Ovis aries: one gene and its partner. Each later gene encodes a partner of the first gene's protein in a complex. Links are inferred from orthologs where the notes say so. Each region holds a gene or a part of one and is shown in the gene's direction. Other genes may lie near its edges. The genes, in order: ZDHHC9 and GOLGA7.

Evidence for each region.
Region 2: the proteins of ZDHHC9 (region 1) and GOLGA7 are in contact, whole or in part, in a cryo-EM structure (PDB 8HF3), measured with the Homo sapiens proteins. The link is inferred for Ovis aries from reciprocal best matches to the Homo sapiens genes ZDHHC9 and GOLGA7. Residues at the interface, in NP_001008223.1 of Homo sapiens: Phe78, Ala81, Arg85, Ile94, Pro95, Leu98, Asp100, Glu101, Phe104, Ile105, Phe129, Gln130, Ile131, Asn132, Ile146, Pro149, Pro150, Arg182, Tyr183, Leu186, Tyr274, Lys281, Cys284, Glu285, Leu287, Cys288, Gly289, Pro290, Leu291, Pro292; in NP_001002296.1 of Homo sapiens: Lys11, Phe13, Gln15, Tyr18, Ser19, Ser20, Gly21, Thr22, Ala57, Glu58, Leu60, Ser64, Tyr65, Gly68, Cys72, Ala75, Tyr76, Thr77, Phe79, Leu80, Tyr86, Glu87, Leu90, Ile116, Arg118, Gly119, Arg121, Val122.

What each region holds. Positions count from the first base shown.
Region 1 is NC_056080.1:113,758,098-113,768,436, reverse strand, and holds the start of ZDHHC9 (palmitoyltransferase ZDHHC9), read left to right. Parts: upstream 1-3,438; 5' UTR 3,439-3,623; intron 3,624-3,968; exon of another isoform or gene 3,969-4,034; intron 4,035-5,202; 5' UTR 5,203-5,336; coding exon 5,337-5,503; intron 5,504-10,339. UniProt on the Homo sapiens protein: Palmitoyltransferase that catalyzes the addition of palmitate onto various protein substrates, such as ADRB2, GSDMD, HRAS, NRAS and CGAS. The ZDHHC9-GOLGA7 complex is a palmitoyltransferase specific for HRAS and NRAS.
Region 2 is NC_056079.1:35,773,159-35,782,741, forward strand, and holds the end of GOLGA7 (golgin subfamily A member 7), read left to right. Parts: intron 1-4,106; coding exon 4,107-4,208; intron 4,209-5,394; coding exon 5,395-5,442; 3' UTR 5,443-5,457; intron 5,458-7,859; 3' UTR 7,860-9,240; downstream 9,241-9,583. UniProt on the Homo sapiens protein: May be involved in protein transport from Golgi to cell surface. The ZDHHC9-GOLGA7 complex is a palmitoyltransferase specific for HRAS and NRAS.

The sequences.
Region 1 (10,339 bases):
AGACTGGCATCAGAGGCAGGGGCAGAGACTGGGTTGGAGCACTTTAGTTGCACTGTCATAGGATCTTCTTGGCACCCAGGCAGTTTTCCCTGGACTTTTTGTATTGTATTTGTTATACAAATATTACTTATTTGTAAAATGTTTGGTTTTCACATGGTGGCATCCTAAAGGTGCTTCTCAGTCTCTGACAGGAGCCAACAGTCCCAACACAGTGATGTGAACACAGAAGGTGTACAATGACAGAGATGCCAGTGGTCTCTTACTTATTGAAACACATAATATTCAGGCAATATTGAGGATTCCCTGGAGATGATGGTGCTACAAAACAGCCACTCTACTAGACCACGATTATAGCCCAAGCTTTTCCCAAGCATAAGTAAGGTTCCCCGGGGACTGGGAAGCCAAGGGGCCAGTCAGATAAGGATTAATTCCAAGTGACAGATTTAGACGCTCTGTAAACACACAGCACACGGATGACCAGGGTTCGACAAAGTGAAGAATGGGTCTGTTTCTTCTTACAGTTCTACCCCCAGTCATCAGTGCAGATAAAGGAGGGAGGTGGGAAACGGCAGTTACCTACAGATATCATTAGAACATACATCATTGATTGTATTTCTCCTATATGCCAGACATTTAGCACACATCATCTCCCATTCCTTTTATAGCTCTATGAAGTAGGCATTAGCTCTGTTTTACAGCTGAGGAAATTGACTCAGAAATGAGAAATTACTTGACATAATTTACACGAGCTCCTGAGTAGCAGAGTCAGGATTTGAACCTAAGTCCATCTGGCTATAAAGCTTCGGTGCTTTCTGCTATGCATACCATCTTGCCTCTTCTGCATCAGGGAAAGCAGCCCAGCCCCCAGGGAAATAGCTATTGCTTAAGAACACTAAGTTGGTCCCTGTGGACAGGATGCCCGTGGTTCTTTCCTTTGTTCATCAGTTCATTCTACAAATATATGTTTATTTATAGCCAGAAAGTAAGAAGAGAGCAGGCCAGGTGGGTGAGCTAGAAAGGGACACTTGTGTGGGTAGGAGGACAAGGCGGCCTGAAAAGGTTGAGGCTAATGTAAACAGACAAAAAAAAAAAAAATGAGGCCAACAAGAGCTTAAATGCAGGATGGGGACTAAGTTTGGGGATCTGTTTTGGATACAGTACTGAAGGGGTCTCTGGGTGTTTACAGGAGAGATGTCTGGAGCAACACAAAGAGGCAAGTTGCAACTCCACAGCAGCACTCAGAATCTGAGGCCGTTGACACCTCCACACCACGAACACACGCAGGAACTGTCAATATGGAGACAAGTATTTTTAAAAAAGCACACCAGAATGTGTGTGACCACACAATGGAGGCCTACGCCTTTATTCCATGCCGTTTGGAGCACTCACCACGTGACTGCAACTCCCCTTCAAAGGAGCCAACACCCCTTTGGATGCATAAAGTCTAGAGGTTTGTGGAAAAGAGTAAAAGAGAAAACAATGTTCATTTATAGTCACAGTGTAGTTAGGGATGTGTATTAAGACCTTGGGGATAATATGAAACGATGCAATGGCATAGAAGGTATCGGTATGGAGGGTTTGTCCATATCCATTTTCCTTATTTTTCTTTCAGAGGTGAGCACAAATGATAACAGATTGTAGTAAAGCAAGCCTGACCTACACAGTCACTTAATAATCCCGGAGGGAATGTGACCCAGAGCAGGGAGGGGCAGAGCTCAGGAATGTGTTGCTGTGACTCATTCCAGGACTCCCAGGGCTTCACCTACACCTGAGACGTTTGGGTGCTGTGGAGGTTTATTTTTGTCCACTCCCCAATTGGGAGGATGACAGCCGGGGAGACTCCTAAGGGCCTCTGGTATACACAGGCTTGGGAACCCAGAGGCCTGCTGGGCTGTCCTTCTCCTTTCCATACCAAATGAATGCAATACCAGCAGCCTCGAGGATTTAAAGGGGAGAATGGAGGTGATGATACTGATCATACAGTTCATAAAAACTACACCGATGATTATAATCAGCATGAGTGCTGGGGAACAATAAAAGCTTTATAAAGATGTACTTTCTCCTACAAATGAATTATAACACATCTCTCATAAGAGAATTACCTAGTAATTTTTTTATCCTTTAAAATTTTTGATTGAAGGGTACCATGAATGTGTCAAATGTAACTATCATTAGATAGAATTTTGCTTCATATCTTGTGGGACCCAAATCCCATAAAAGGAGAAATAGTTCTTGACCAGGCAGTGGTCCTTCAACTAACACACACAAAAAAACTGCCTTGGGAAGAGCTTTGGCAGTCTCTTTTGTATTCATTGCAAATACCTTCACCCCAGAGAAACTTTGTTCAAGCTTAGGAAAATAGCTGACAATCTGGGCACTTTCCCTGATAGTGTGACAGGTAAGGAAAGACCACCTTACACCCTCTCTCATATTTCCCCTTATATTTGGAAGCCAAGAGCCACAGTAGCGGAAACAGACCCAGTATCTTTTAAAGTCTGTTGTAGAATATTGATTTCGCGGTTCTCAACTGTTTTCCCCACTCCAATCTTATGCTAAAGGATGAGACTCACTCAGATCAGTAGCAGTGGCTCATTGTGGTAATAACTGCCCTGTCAGAGAGGTGGCAGAAAGATAGAATCAATGTGGTTGGTGGGTAGAGTTTCTGCTGCTCCCCTCTGAGCCCCACTCAGCGCCTCATTATCACAAGCTCTTCAAATCTAATAGTCATTTATAAGCTTTTGAAGCAATCTTTACTTCATCACCTACCTGAAAGAATTTATGTCCTGTCAGTAGAGTTTCAGCGTCAATTTTTTGTTTACGATACCGCAAAGTGATTCTATCCTCTTGGGGACAGTTATCTCTTTCAAGTTCCTTTTTATATGTTTGTTTTGTCCCTAAAGCCACAGATGCAGGCCAGGGTGACTGGGACAAAGGTGGGATCCCTACCTCGTGAATATGACTTGGGAGGCAGAACTTATTTTTACGCGGGTACAGAGTAAAATCCCAAGTCGCGATTGATTTCATGTAAGTACGGCTGGAGAGGCCCAAGGAGGATCCAGTTTGGGGTGAGCACCGGGATCTGTGAGCCAGGGTTCCTTCAGCGTCTCATGGTACGTGTGTGCGGGGGGAGGCAGGTCCCCCGTTCCTCCTAGTCCCATTGACACTACGCTTCATCCCGGTCCCTGCGGAACTATATTAATAGAAAGCGACACTTCACACATCGGTGCTCAGACCCCAAAGGGAGGCTGGCAAAGGCTTGGCAGGTGGGCACGAAGTCGGGAGATGGGTGGGGGAATGGGGCGGAGGCGTCGTCGAGTGGCGTTCTGCGCAGCCAATGGTAGTTCGGGGCAGGGGTGGCAGGGGCGGAGGCGCCGAGGCGGATCAGCCAATAGAGGGCTAGCAACTACTGGAACGACCTGGTGACGTGAGGAGCGTTCCATTTGGCCAGCGGTGGGCGGTTGCCACAGCTGGTTTAGGGCCCCGACGACTGGGGCCCCTTGTCAGGAGGAGGCAGCCTCCGGGCTGGGGAGAAGCCGCTGCCATCTCTGGCGGCCAACGCGGTCCCCTGGGACAGTGTACTTCCTGGCTTCGGTTCCCGGCCGAGTTCGGTCTCCGGGGTTCAGGTAACAAGGGGGTGGGTGGGGGTGGGGGTCTCCGGGGCTCGGCCGCGTGGTGGGTTGCAGCCCCCTCGGCTGCCCTGGGATGCGCGGAGCCTGCTCTGCCCTTCTCGGCTCGGCGATTGCCGAGCCCCTGGCCGGGGGTGACTACACGTGGCGGGGCGTGTGTGTGTACGAGCGTGCGGAGGTGGCGCGCGTCCCATCCTGCCCGGGGCGGTGGTCGGCGGCGTGGCTGAGGTTGGGCGGGCCTCTCGAGGCCGCGCCCGCCGCCCGTCCGGGACTCGGGCCTCGGGCCCCGAACCGCTGGGCTGGTCGCTGGTTCTCGACGGATTTTGATCTTTGTTCTCCCAGGCCCGGCTCCCCTTCCTGGTCTCTCCTCCCGCTGGGGCGGTTTATCAGGAGAAGATTGTTATCCAGGTTAGTTTTACACAAAGGAAGTGTTCTCTACACCTCCGATGCCCCCTCCCCTTTCCCAAGCCTTCCAGCTTCTCCTTTCCCTGCTCAGCTCCTAGTCTCTCTTTGGACCGTTGCCCTCTTCAGCCCAGTTGGTTATTTCTCATCAGTCAGTCGAGCTGCAGGTTTCCGCCTCCTTCTTGCCAGCGTGAGGCATGTGGTATCGGTAAATAGAGGCCACAGCACCACACCTGAAAGGAGAAGGGTGACAGCGGTGAGAAAGGCTGGGCCTGGGGATTCAGGATGCTAAGTGGAGATGGTACTTCTGAAATGTCCCAGAAAGCACCTTTGTGACTTTTCTTAACTGCTGCCACCCCTCCCCCTCCGTTGGGCCCCTCCTCCTCCCAGCCATATAAGAATCTCTCTGGCTTAAGTCAGCCCTTCACCTACAGGTCTGTGATGTGGTTTCATTAAGATTCCCACAAATGTTAGGCTAGACCGGCAAAGTTGGTTCATTTCCCAGACTCAGGAAGTTAGGAGGGTTTGATTAGGGGAAATCTGTTTGGAGTAAATACAACCTGGGTTTGTGTACAGTGTCCAAAACCTCCTAGCTCTCCCAAAGGATGACTTGTTCCCTGGTGTGATTCAGATTCCAGTGGCTAATTGAAGAAAGAAGGTGAAGAAATGGAGGAGGGAAGGGAATGGCCCTTAAGGATAGAAATTCCATCATTTGTAGAGTCTTTTTCATGATAATTATACAATAATATGGTATAGTGGAGAGCACCCTGGACTGAAAGTCAACAGACCTGTTTTCTTGGCTTAGCTTCGTGGCCTTGTGACCCAGAGAAGTGATTTCCCCACTTCAGTCTTCAGTTTACTTATTTCCAAAACAAAGTAATTGGGGCTGTCACCTATAAAACCTCTTCTAGTTCCTAGTTCTGTGATAGTCAAATCATCAGTATTATACTGAAAGTAAAGGGATGTATGTAAGATATACTAGCCTCTTTCTCTTTTTGAGAACCTTTAACCTTTTCTTCTTTTAGGGGACAAAAACAGATTGGAAATAAACTCTTCCATTTCTTCACTCTCAACCCTTGAGGCAGTACTCATCTTTCTGCCTCTGGGAAAGGAAGATTGAACTGCATTTTCTTGTTCTTGCCTCATTTTTTTTTCTTTTTGTGTTTTTCCTTAGGGCTAGAAATTGGACTTCTGATGATGTTTGACCCAGTGGCAGCAATAGCACACATCGTGATTTCAAAGCTGGGCTCAGCTTCTGTATCTTCCCTCTTATAATCACAAACCCATTTTGGACCAGGAATTCCAATCATGTCTGTGATGGTGGTGAGAAAGAAGGTGACACGGAAATGGGAGAAACTCCCAGGCAGGAACACCTTCTGCTGTGATGGCCGCGTCATGATGGCCCGGCAAAAGGGCATCTTCTATTTGACCCTCTTCCTCATCCTGGGGACATGTACGCTCTTCTTCGCCTTCGAGTGAGTTTCCATTGAGTACTGTTGCCTGATTATGGTTACTTTGGGTCCAGGGAAAGAACCTTCTTTCTGGGGAGTTTATGGCTAGTCCTTGGAAGGTTGTCACTGTCCTCTTGAGCAGTGTCTGTAGATCATGTCAACTGAATTCATTGCTTTGTATGTGCCTCCTTAAAAGACCAAGACGTTTGATAACCAATTTTATAGCACTGATTTGGGGCCGCCCCTGGAACACTTAGGAAATAAAAGAATTCATCTTCATTACTCACCTCCCCTTTACAGTGGTCTCCTTAGGTGGTTAGTGACAGATTGCCTCTTCTCCACCCCTCCTGAGCCTAGGAGCACTCCCTGTGGTCATAACTCCACCCCATGATACTCACCTATTCTGTTATTCTGGGTCCTATTTTCTTAGGGCTCAGCTCTCAGCTAGCTCTTAAATTGAAAAGCCAACTGAATTGGGAACCTGCCGATTGATTCCAGCCTCAGCTGTGCCACAGTCTAGCTGCCTGTGTGGCACATATGTGCTTATTAAATGTGAGTTGCTCTTTCTCTCAGTCAAAATCACTCAACATAAACAACTCTCTATTCTGTGTGTGCCTGATACCAGCCTTGGAGTTATTTTTCCTGTGATGTAACAGCTAGTTTTAGAGGCAGTTTGAAATCTGTGTTGGTCACTACTCTAGGGAGTTGACCAGTTGACTACTGTGGCATGACTCCTGGGTATGCTGAGAATGTACATTCCAGGGATGAGAGCAATGCTAATTGGTTTAGGATTATTATGAGGAAGGCCTTGAAGGAGCCAAGAGATGTGTTTGTAGACCATGAGCTACACCTAATATGAACTGCTACAGTTCATGCCCTCCAGTGACCTGGAAATGGAACTCCCCTCAGGGGGTGTGGCCATGGGATGGAGGAGGGGGCTTCTTGGCTTGCCTTGGTGGATAATTAAAATGAACTCTGATCTTTGGGGGCTCATTTTTGTCTTTCTTCTGTAAGGGCTTCAGGCTTTCCCAGTGCATCAAGAGTGATTTTTTGGGGGCTGGTTTGCCAGACTTTGGGATAAGTGCAAATGGCGTGAATAACAGCAGGGGAAGGAGAGGGATGTAGTTTATAACAAGGCCAGGAAAGTAAGGTCAGAGGACCTTTTTGTCAAAGGCACGTTTTTTGCTGCTGTTGCTACCAAGTTGTAAAATATTTGGCAAAATCAGACAGGTTGATCATGGCTTCTTAGCTGCTTTCCAGTCAGAGTTTCATGGCTGAATGTGTGTGTGTATACTTTGTGTGGTACAAGTGAGCGTGTGCAGGCGGGCAGGCATAAGCATAACATTTAAAAAAATATTTCCCCACTTCTCAGTCTTGTCTCCAAGTTAGCTTTGTTTCTTCCTTGCTTGTTTATGGAAGTGCAGAGCTGAACTCTGCTTTCTGTCATTCTCACTCCTTCCTCTGCTAAATCACTAGCTCTTTTTGCCTCTCTCCCCTCCCCAACTCAGGGTTAAATTTTTGTGGTTGAAACCATTCAAAACAGAGATGAGATTTGTTTCCAGGCCCTGAGCGAGCTGGTAATTCTGGGCCCAGGAACCCTCTGGTTTGACTGGCCAAGGGAACTTGAAATTTGGAGCTACTGGCGTTTGGCCCTTTTTGTATCTGGAAGCCAGACAGAGTATGATTTGGATGTGTTCTGTTCGGCCCTGAAGGCCTCTGAAGAAAACTGCCTGTGAGATGAAGCTTATAACCAACCAAGTTACTGTTTGACAGAGGCAGGTTGGGTTTTCTGGTGAGATGACTTTTTTCCCCCCAAGTTATTTCTTGCGCTTTGCCCTCAGATGTGAAGGGTGAGGTTGTTTGTAAACTGCCCTGGGTTCCAGCTGTGTGTGTGGTAGAGTAAATAGTTTCGAAGGTGGGGCTGGGCGAGGGAGTAGAAAAGGGGAAGGGAGAAGGAAGTAAAAGTGTTAGCTGAGAAGTGGAATGGGGAAGTTTACATCTGACCAAAGGGGAGAGGGCCCCGTCAATGAATCCTTCTTACTGAGAATGGTGGGATCTGTGTTTGTGAGCACGTATGTGTATGCGTATATGTGTGCACATGCACGCATCTGTCTGTCACATGCAGACACGTGGGCACTCTAGGTGGCGGCTGCCTTGAGCCTAGCCACTGACAGGCTGTACAGAGGACACCAGCCTGCCTCTGAGGAATGAAGTCTCTTTCTAGTCAACCTTTTTCTTTGGGGGTCTATAACTCACTATCCACCACATGGTGGAGGATAGGGTTTGGGGGCAGAATATGGGCTCCTTTGCTAGTATGAGAACTTACAGAGACCTCAGGAAATCACCTGGTTTAGTCCCCTGCCTTCAGGCAGTTGAGGGTGTCTGAACCGACCGTCTCTTTTCATGTTTAAATTGTATAGGAGCATAGACTGTACATTCTCTGGCTGCTGCATTTTGGCCTTGAGGAAAAAAGTTCAGATCTTGAGGCACATCTGGACCTGCATTTTCGTAACAGGGTCCTGCTTGCAGCAGGTGTGCAGGAATGAGTGAGAGGTGATTTATAACCCCCTGTGGCACAGCCCTGGGTCGGCCAGATGGCTTGAGAAATCTGGTCAGGCGTGTGGGCGCCCCTTGATGAAAAACATGCAGTGTTAGTAGTGTCAGTGGACATCTTTTTTATTTTTGGATTTCGCTTTTACATGTTTAGATTTCTCAAAGGAGGGTCCTGTGATTTTTCAGTGAACAGACAGTAGGTTAACTACATAAAATGAGAAAAAGTGGTCCATACAGGTGCTCATCATTAGCTTTGTGTTGTTAGAAGCGTTTCCAAAGAAGCTGGGTAGCCATCTCTCAGAGCTGCTGTCACAGAGTGAATTCCTGCCCAGGATGGGAAATAGGGCTAGATTATCACTAAGCCTCTTGCAGCTCTGAGATTCTGAAATTCTATAACTCTTGTGTCTGTCTGGAAGATTCTAATACACACATAGAAAAGGAGAGGATAGAAGATTACCAGTAGATAGCTGTATTTTAAATGTAATTGTATCTATTGTTTCTATAGTAAATGTATTTGAATTTAGAAGCAGAGTGTACAGTGCTTGTACAGTGCTTAAAAAAAAGAATTTCTTTGCAAGTAGAGATTATCATACTAAGCGAAGTAAGTTAGAAAGAGAAAGACAAATACCATATGATATCACTTATGTATGTGGACTCTAAAATGTGACACAAACGAACCTATCCACAAAACAGAAACAGACTCAGAGACACAGAGAAAAGACTGCGGTCGCCATGGGGGATGGGTTAAGGAAGGAATGGAGTGGGAGGCCGGGGTTAGCAGATGTAAGCTATTATATATAGAATGGATAAACAACAAGGTCCTACTGTATAGCACGGGGAACTGTATCCAATGCCCTGGAATTAATCATAATGGAAAAGAATGTATATATAACTGAATCACTTTGCTGTACAGCAGAAATTAACACAACATTGTAAATCAGCTATACTTTAATCAAGAGTATTCTAATTAAAAAAAAAAAGAGGAATTTCCTAATGTATTCTTAGGATGAGGTATTTAGGAAATGTGAGCTTTAAGCACATGAACCATTCTCCATCCTTTCTGCCCAAACTCTGTCCAGCTTGTGTGATGAACACATAGCCAACAGCTTGGCTAGGAATGTCAGGACACTGTAGCAGACTGACACTGACAACCTGTGAACTGTCCAACTACTGAAAGGCTATTGTGGTATTTAGTCAAATTCAACTTTCTGATAAAGCTTGGGGAAAAGACCAAGTGCACTGTGTTCTGAAAGTGGCTTCCTAGCTTTCTCTTTTAACTGTGTGACCAGATCACTACTGGGGTCAAGGTCTCTTGTGGCATGAATGATTGTGTGACTCTTGACCCCTGAAGTAGGAAGGCGTTTACTGCTGTGATCAGTGCTTATGCCTCACTGTGCTGTTTCTAGCGGATATCGTATCAAGGCATTATCAAACCCTGTTGGACTGACCCTCCTGGGTGCTTCTGATGTACAGAGGAGTCATTGAATTGTATGAACTGAAAAAAGCTTTGTAGCACTGCTTAATAATTGTCCCACTTCTAGCCTATTCAGACTCTACCTCTTTTTCAAGTCCCTTCTTGACTCTTCCTTCATGAAATTTTTCTAGTAATTTCTGCATTCATAGGACTAATTGTACATATCAGTCATTTAACACATAATTACATGACATTTTTAATATTTTGTAATTCTGTGGATATTACAGTTTGAGTTCTTTCAGGGTCAGGGACTATCCTCTGCATGTGTGTGGCCCCCACAGTGCCTTCTACTAGGCCTTACTTAGAGTATGTAATCAATAAATGTAGCTGAATTGATACATTCTGGATGCACTTAAGATGTAGCAGTCTTGACTCACAGAATCATAGAATGATAGATCTGAAAGGGGCCTTGGAGACCATCCCCATCCTTTTGCGAGTGACAAAACCAGGTCTACAGAAATAGATTTCATCAAGGTCAATCGGCCAGCCACTGCCTTTATACGACACTACCTTTCATCTCATTGTTGCCTTTTGAATACGGAATCCTGAAGACATGCAGATTACTAAAGCTGTGCATAGTGCCAAATGCTGGACTGGCATATTCTGGAGTCTTGCTAGCTAATGTTTGTGTTGCTTTAGTGGATTCTAGGTTACTTTGGCCTCCTTAACTCATGCTCTTAGTGGCTCAGATGGTAAAGCGTCTGCCTGCAATGCTGGAGACCCAGGTTCGATCCCTGGGTTGGGAAGATCCCCTGGAGAAGGAAATGGCAACCCACTCCAGTATTCTTGCCTGGAGAATCCCACGGGCAGAGGACCCTGGTAGCATACAGTCC
Region 2 (9,583 bases), on another chromosome or scaffold:
GGGAGCGGCAGGGACGGCAGGAGGTGAGCGGATTCAAGGGGCGAGGTGGTGGAGGAGGAGGCACGCTAGGGAGCCACTGACCACAGGAGGGGGTGGGTGGGGAGGGCTGGGCCTGTGCAGGTAAGATACTCATGCCACGTGGCCGTAGAAGACGTGTAATATAGCCAATTTAAGGCAGAAATATGTCCTCCAGAGTGTTTTATTCACGCCTCATGGAATATTGCATGCTTGAATTGTTATTTCACTGTAGTTTTTAAATTTGTTGATGAAATTTTAATCAACTTATTTTTTCATGTGTCTTTGCTAAAATAGATACAGATACCTGCCTCTGGCATCAGTTATAGAGAGACTGATCACTGGGTGCCAGCCAGGTCATTTCCTAGTTATGAGTCATGGACAAGTTCATCTCTCCAAATCTGAGTTCTCAGTTGTAAGCGGGTCTTAGATTGGTAGTTACCAAGGAGTGGGGATGGGTGTTAGCAGATGCAGATGAGGAGACATAGGAAAGAAACCATCCTGGAACAGAATATGAAAGAGAACGTAGGTACATGTGCAACTGAGTCACTTGGCTGTATATCAGTGATTAGGACACGTTTGTTTAAAAAAACAAAAAAGGTAAATCCAAAAAAGAAATATAATGGATCTTTGAATTAATAAATTGCCTTACATATGGCAGGTGCTAAATAAAGTTTTCTTAAGATAGACTTAAAAATCGAGTTAGTGTGTGTGTGTATATATATGTTTTAATCAGATATGTGTGCACTTACATGTACAGGTTTTTTTTTACCTTGAGTGTATAAGTGTATAAGTCATCTTTTTTTAGCAGCTGCTGGTTTCTTTACCTACTAAAACATTTAGCAACTCTTAATTAAAGTCTTTTTTGATTAGTATTTGATTATTTTGATGATCAATTTCAGAAGGCACGTCTCAAATTATATCAGAAAATAATGGACTTGAGTTCATAAATAACATATAAGGTATTACTTTACAAGTCTAATTAAAGTCTCTTTTACAGAGTAAGTATTATAAAGCAAATAAAGACCCAATAAAATTAGTCAAGAAACCCAAATTTATGGCACATTTTATAAATGTGATTTTATATAAGAAATTTGGACATGAATTAACTAGATCATGCAAAGTACATAACTGGAATGGTCATAATAAAGATATAATCTCCATGTACTTTTAAAAGGAAACATTGTAAATGTGTATTTGTATTTTTGATAAGATGATAAAAATGTTAGAGTGCTCAGCCACTCCCTCTCTCCAGTTTGCCCCTTAGGAATTCCTGTGCTATTATTTTCTCCTTTATGAAGGGACAAAATTGAGTCATTTAGTCTTTATTGTGTTAAACACTAAAACTTCCAGTCTACAAACAGTAAGCCACGCATAGTGACACTTACACTTTGTCCTGTGGGTTAAATTTTTTGAGATTGTAAATAGGCCTTTTAAAACCCACTAGAACAATCGTGCTTTTTTTTTTTTTTCTATAATGTGCTATTTATTGATTTACAATGAAGATAAAGGCTTCAGTGTTATTCCCCTCCATTGCTGCCCATTATAATCAGGGAACAAATGGGCCTGTGGAACGTTCTTCTTTCAGGAGCAGTTGCTGTGTTCGTCCACCAGAGACGTCCCTGCTGCCCATGGGCTGTGATGTGAAAAGAGCGCAGTCAGAGAACTCAGATCTTTCTGGAAACACTAAGCCCCTGGGCCTCTCACTCAACCCCACTTCGGTTATCTTTCCTCAAGGGCTTTGAGAGGCTTATTCTCAAAGAGGACAATAGCCTTTCCTGAGGTCTGAGTGTTTAACTTTGTAAATACTATACAAACTGAGGTTTTTATTGCGGGTTTGAGGATAACAGATAATTTTGTTGGTATTATAGTTTGTTTTAACAACGATTCACTAAAAATAGTGAAGTATGAATAAAATGTCAACACAAAGTTCCTTGAGGGTGAGAACGGTGCTCTGTCCTGGCAGGAGTGAGGTACGAGTTGACTCACGTCCGTGAGCTGTCTGTTGCTAACAACACATCTGGGTTAGCATGGTGCCGCCTTCACTGCAGTGCTGTGGGAGGATTTGCAGCTGGCGCCCAAGGAAAACTGTCTTCTTTCTGAACTGAAACCCAAGTGTCCATGAGTGTTACCAAAGTTTAAACAAAAGCCTTGCACGACAGAGTTCTGCTTGAATCAAATAAAGCATGGCTGTGTCTTTGCTAATAACCTGCACTCGAGGAGGGGAGGAGAGCTATGTGAAGGAATCCTTTCTTTGAAACCAGCCATGCAGGCTGGTTTCTCAATGTCTGCCCAGTGTAAATGGACGGGGTGAGGGGAGCCTGGCTGTCCGGTTTCGAGCTCTGGCAGGTGAGCACAGAAGGAAATTGGAGCGAAGAGGGAGAATCCTGAATTGGGCACCATCATGAGTGACTTGCTTCCCTTCTTTTTAGCATGATTGACAGTGTTCTTGCCTGGAGAATCCAGGGATGGGGAGCCTGGTGGGCTGCTGTCTGTGGGGTCGCACAGTGACTTAGCAGCAGCAGCAGCATGATTGACAAATGCTGGTGGAAAGAGAGTGACTGAGATTTTTTTTTTTGCTCATAAAGACCAGGCACTGCTCAAATTCTTTGAGAGTTGAAAATAGGAGAATGACATATGTACTTTAGGTAATAAGGTGAAAAAGTCTTTTCTTTAGAAATAGTATTCTTACATTACTTCATAACCCTGCAGATGACTCTTTTAATAATATCATGCTCTTTTTTAAAAAACGTAAAACATGAGATTTTATTATTCCCCAGAGATGTAACCTGAATAGACTGTTTATTGTCCTTCAGTGAGAAAATCCATTATACAAGCAGCATAGAGTTTTAAATTCTAAATCAGTTTATGCCAAAGCAGCTACGTTTTATCATTCTAATATGTTGGTTTGTTCTGGTACATTATAGACCCATACTTAAATCAGATTTCTTCCTTTCCAGCTTTATTTTCATACAGTTCTTTTTTTCCCTTTATGTTGTGATCACATTTATCTGTGACTTTATCATATTCTGCTAGTGTGAATTTAAGGAAACATACAGTAATTAAAGAATTGGATCAAAGCGTCTTTGAAGATTAGAGCCAGCAAAGGATTATAATGACCTTGAATCTGAAAGAAAACATGTGACTCTTTGATTTTGTGTATCACTATTAAGATTTATTTTCTTCTAGGTTATCTGTCTCAGAATTGCCCTTATTAAAGCTTAAGATTTGGCAATTTCCAGAAGTTCCTTTTTATCCTATCTGGTTTTTGTCTATGTTTGCTTTGACTTTTACAACCTTAATACTAAACTTATAAATCGAGGTTCCCATCTAGGACTCAGGAGCAGGCTGCAGAGCAGCCTCCCATGCAGGCAGGAGATGATGGAGAACACTGGTCACCAGACCTCCATGGCAGCCAGCACAAACGTGCCTGGTGAAGGAAACAGATTTCTCAGTTTTAAATGTACTGGACTCCCTTCGTTATAGGCCCGCTTTGTATTATGACTTTAAATTGATGAAAATGTACAGTGGAGAAAGCAGTTCGTTCTTTCTTTATTGGGGTGGAGGGTGGGGGGCATGCCTCACAGTTTGTAGGATCTTAGTTTCCCTATCAGGCATGCAAATGGGCCCTCAGCAGTGACCTGAGGTCCTGGCCACTGGATTGCAGAGAAGTCCTGAGAACCATCTCCTGAGTGTCCAGGGGAAAGCCAGAAGCTGTTCCTGATATCAGAGGAGGTCACATGTTGCACATTTCCTGAGTAGGGAAGGGGAAGGCACGTAACGTGTATATGGTCACCTCCAAATTTCTCCGTATCCAGGATGGAGGGAAGGGGCGTGGCTCTCGTGCCGCCACCTGGCTGCATCTCTGTTTGGACTTAGGCTGTATGGATGTGCTCAGAACTGGGGCTAGGGGGCGGGTGTTGGGGACCCAGGGCATGAGCCACAGAGTCAGAGCTGTCCCTCCACGTGAACACCTATTTCTTGCTTTGAAAACTAATTCCACTGCCTGAATATTTTGAAGTTCAGCTGAATACTCAAAAAGAGAATCTGATGAAGTTGGTAAGAGAGCTGTGTTGTTTCTCTTTGGTCAGGTCCTGAAGAAAGTCTCCAAATACATTCAAGAGCAGAATGAGAAGATCTACGCCCCACAAGGCCTCCTCCTGACAGATCCCATCGAGAGAGGACTGCGAGTTGTATCTTTTCAGTCCAGATCATGAGGTCTAAATATTTGATTATGGCCGTCAGCCCTGGCCAGAGAGGATTTCCCTCCGTTCCCGAACCTGCCCTGGGCTCTGCTGCTGGAAGGCACTCCCTCCTTCCAGCACAACTCCTTCCCGGGTGGCGTGCTGGTCTCTGGAGCGTGTAGTGTTGGGGCTGCCGCTGTCTTGGTGGCTGTGCAGCATCTTGTAGTAATAATGGAGTGGGGTGAGTCATGCATCTCAGCTGCGGAGGCTACACCAAAGGCCCCTTTGAAATGCATGAACTCAGTGCGCGGAGAGCTCGTCGTCCAAATAAATCGCAGCTCCGTGGGTTCATCTGACTCGTTGAAATCAGTTACAGCTGCCAGATGTATCATTTCATTACCTTTGACATAACTGTATATTTTAGAGGCAGTTGACAACATCACGAAGTTTATTTTGGTAATTTGGTAAATAAAATTACAAAAAAATAATTTAGCTTGATAACAAGTAAAATAAATAACTGGATAAAATAAATTTTTTTTAAAACCTAGGTCAGATAATCCCAGGCCTTCCGGCTGATAATAATTTCAACGGCTTTATTATACTCGTATCAGTGTTTCTTAAACTTTTAGAAGTCGTGAGCTCTCTCACAAGAAAAAGTTTGCATACAATTTCAGGGTGTTTTGCACCCCTGACGTCATTACCTCACTATGGATGCTCAGTGAAGAGCCCCCGTTAGTTCTGCAATAAAGTATCCTTTTTCACATTCTTTTCTTCTTTTAAAAAATAAATAATATTTGGAGAGGAACTCTGTGGTATACCACAAGCAATGACATTTCTTGAATTTTTCAGCAGGGTGTGGCAAACACTGTTTAACTTAAGCAGGAGAAATTTTTAATGTTTTGAAATAAGTAAAGCAAATAATAATAATTTTAATTGCTTAAATAATAATTTAAGATAAGTAAAGGCAAGGGGGACTTTGCTAGCGGTCCGACAGTTAAGACTCCGAGCTTCCAGCTGGTGGGTCCAGGTTCAATCTTGTGTAGGGAACTGAGCTATCCCACAAGGTGCAGCCAAAAGAATTTTTTTTTAAAGTAAGTAAAGAGAAGTCCGCACAGATCATACCCATCTTCTCTCCGTAGTCCCTTTTCCTGTGTTGTGTTTTCCAGTGTGTTTTCTTAACAGTCATGCTGTTTAGATTGAAATTACCATTTATGAAGACAGAGGTATGAGCAGTGGAAGATAAACCATAGAATTAAAGGTAAATATGAAATTGTATGATTATGTGCCATTTTTGTAATTTTGTAGGGTGCATGAATTTTCTCGTCTGCATCATAAATACTGGCATACTGTCTGTACTGACTTGATATTTAAAATGTGTCATTAACCCAAATTCTGTTAACCCAAGTGATAGTTTAACCCTGATATTTTTTCTTCCCCCTTTGTTGTTTTCAGCCTCATTTTGTTATTACTTTGTTTTGGGGGGTTGGGGGGTCTTATTTTAATATTTCAAAACTATCCTGGACATTTTAATAGATGGGTCTTACACATAAAAATCAGGTCAGAAGATTTCCCTGACATTTTTTCCCCTGACAGATTTCCCTGTCATTAAAGCCATGACAGATGGCTGTAATAACCAAAGAAACGTTTCAGAATAGGGAGAGTCTAAATATTTGATGTATTTAAGTGGCTTCATAGCCCTTTAAAAGAAACCTTACCTCTAGTGGGTAGAACCATACATAAATGTTCACGCGCTTTAGAATGTTCATGTTCTCACGTATCCACATAATGACGCTGAACAACTGAGCAGCAAATTGCTGAATGCTGGTGGGAATGTGGAGGAAGAATCACCTGGAAGCCAGCGCACCTTCTAAGTGACCAGAAAAAAGGGCCAATTTCTGCCCGTTTCCGTCCTGCGCTCCACCTCCCAGTAGTAATTCTGCCGCTGAGCTTTCCTGACCACGTCCGCAGGCAGCTGTCCCTGACTCGCAGGAGGCTGCTCAGAAACAGATTCAGCCAGAGCAGACAGCCTCCTCCCCAGGGCAACAGCAATGATATTCGCTGCTGTTCTGAGGGCATGGCTGTGTGCTAGGTGTTACACAGACTGTTTCCAGTTCTCACAAGAATCCTGCCCAGTATTCCCCCCACATTACAGATAAGCAAACCAAGATAGGAAGAGATTAAGTGATGATCTCCAGGTCACACAGCTAATAGTCCAGGGTTACGAACCCGAGTCTGGTTGACCATAAAGCCTTGTCTTTTCACCGTACTTCCTATAAGTACATGCAGCAGCAGAGATGTGGAGAAAAAAGAGTCCATCGCATTATTCTAAATGCTTTTCCCCTTCATTTCTTTTCCAGTACCTTTTAAAAATAACATCTTGTCTGTTCCATTTGTTGAATGCTATTAATACATAGCTGTCTTCTCTGAGCGCTAGGGAATGTGTCCCCTGAGTTCTTACAAGACAGACCTAAATAATGACACCCTCTGCCGTGTGTTTTATTCTTTACTGAGACTTTGTTTTGGAGCACATAGTGTTACCTGTTCACACGCTTTCTCACGTGCGCTTTGCAAACTGGTACTTCTCAGAGGAGCAGCCAGGAGCCCTAAGTGTGGTTTTGGTGGCGGGCCGCTGGGACGCGTTGGTTTGATCAGTTGCAGCTGCGCTGCCTTGGCACAAGCCGTTTGTCATGACGCACTTTGCAGCTCCTGTTGCTCTAACACACTGTTTTCCTGAGGTGGCGCGGGACTTGGAGCAATCGCACACCAGAGAGGAATCTATCAATATTCAACAACAGCGAAGTTTTGAAATGAGATTTACGTTAGGAACTTGTGGTAATTTCATGAATGCAAATATTTTCGTTCAGTGTAATTTAGTTTTCAGAGCTGTGTGTTCCTCAGACCTGGGATCCTGTGTGGGCTGAGGTCTTAGAGGAAAGGGGAAAACTCTTGAAGAATAATGAATTCAGTTCTGTCATTTTTCTTAAGCATACATGGTGTCTGCAGCTTGACGCATTATATGGGAATTAAAATTAATGACTTAAGAGCACACAAATCATGGAGATGGCCTTTATTTTTTTAAAAGAGTGTTATATTTTACTCCTTTTTAAAAAGTTATAATTTTTTTGATACCTTTATTATTCAACAAACTGATGGTTGTTTTCTCTCTTAAGATTAAGATCGTCTTCTTTACTTAAAAAACAGAATGTAGCACTAACCTATCACGATAAATAAGTGATAATAAAAACACCCAGCGCTTGTGGGCACCTCCTGCGTGCCCGCATCATTCATAGCACCCTCTGGGGTCTGTGGCAGTGTCCCTGTTTTTCAGAAGAGGGGACCGAGGCCCGGAGAATTTCAGTTATTTGTCCAGGGCCCCAAACCGGCAGGTCGGCAGGAGGCAGCCAGGCCTGGATTGGCCGCGCACTCCTGTTCTGTGCTGCCTCTCGAGACATGGTTGGTCAGAGATGCAAACATACAGGCTTGGATCTCTGGACCCTCAAACCATGGACCCCCTTCGGCAGATGAGACAGATCTGGGCATCTCAGTAGCCGGAGCCTGGGTTAATGGAGTGTAGCCCACACGTGGGGAGGTCACAGCAGCTGCTCTTGGGAGGTCAGTCAGTGTCGCTTTCTAAGCCTTTGCTTCTCCCTCTAACTACAGATCCCACGTCCAGCTGGGACCCTCACCTGTCCACCGGCCGACCGCAGAGCGTCCCCCTACCTCCTCTCCAGAGCATCATTCCTTCGTATCTGCTGCCAGAGCCACGGTGCCATTCACTCCAAGGACTGACTTTCTAAAATTCCGCACCTGGAGTGACCTCTAGTCGCTCAGCATCCACTTTGTGTCTCCAAATCGTGTAGGACTCTGCAATATTTTGATCAGTTTCAGAGAAAATGCCATGAAGCGTTTCACTTTGTTCATTCAAAGCCATTAAACAAATATGCAGTTGGTCAGCCCAGCAGTTTATTTCTCACCTGCTGCCAGTACCAGTGGTTCTCATCATTCCTTGGGCTTCAGCATGTTGTATCCTAGCCAGTGTTCAGTCTTACTCCCCCCAAATTCATGAAATGCTTTTCTCCAGGATTTTGGTGAAGGGTGGGCTGTGTCTGGTTTTGCTAACGCATCTCCCAGATTTCAGAAAACTACCAGTTTTGCTGTGACTCAGAGCTTAAAGGTCTAGTTCTGCTGTTTAATTCCCCAAACCGAAGCTCATTGGAAAAATAATGTATTATTTTTCTTGTTTTATTATATCAGTTTCCTAATTAAAGCAGTGTTTAATGCATTTTCCAGGTTTGGGTTTTTTCAGAATTCTGTTGGTACCGCATCACCTCGAGCATTGGGAAGACGTGGTCTGTGTCGCTTGTTCTTATAAGAATGAGTAAGCACAATAAAGTGGATGCTAAACCATCAAACTCAGATGTCCCTGCTGTGTCCCTGAATGTGTAACGAGCAAGTGTAATAAATATTTTAATTATAGTTTTGTTATAAATGTAACTTAAGAGGAAAAATTTGATAGGAATAATACTGTATATTGCTAATTTTTAACTCTCCCTGCTGGCAGTCCTTATGGTTCATAGACTTTATCATATACAGTATTCCACGCACAGAAACATGTATGATTGGTTCAAGTTCAGTAAGATAAGTGATTTCCAGCTAAAACTGTCAAGTCCTGAGTCACTGTTTGGAGTTCTTTTTTTGGCTGTATGTTCTTAGCATTGGGACTTCCCATACCCTTCACCTTTGGGGTTTGAGAGCACTGTTTTTGGGAGAAGGATAAGACATGTATTAGGAGAGAATGAAACAGTTAAAAGTTTTACTTTCAGAGATGTTGTAGGTGCTAATACTGGATTTAACCTTTCAGATTTAATTTCTTTTATGAGTCTGTTAGTTATTCAGTAAATCCCATAGTTCTATGTAATATTTTAATTGTATAACTTGTTACTTTATAATAGCCTATAATAGTGTGTCTGTCTGCCTTTTCAACCCGTTGCAATAACTTTGCTGAAATATTAACACATTAGTAAATCTTTTCTTAAACAAATTGTCTCTGTGTCATATTTGGTGTGATTTGATGAAGTGTAAATGATACGATATTACATTTGGCAGATAGACAATACTGCGAGAACCCCTGGTTCAGTGCAGCTTAGTATTTTTAAACATCTGACGTTCATACAGTTTGTCACACTCAGCAGCTTTTTACATGCTGTATCTCTTAAATGAAGATACATTAGCGACAGGGCTCCAAACCGAGAAATAGTCCCCAATAGTCAAAATGTATTCAATTAAATAAGAGATTGGAATGTTTCATTAGGGGAAGAGTATCACAGTATCATGACAATCTTAGATCGTCTGATGTCTCTGTTGTGTGTGTGTGTTTTGTTTTT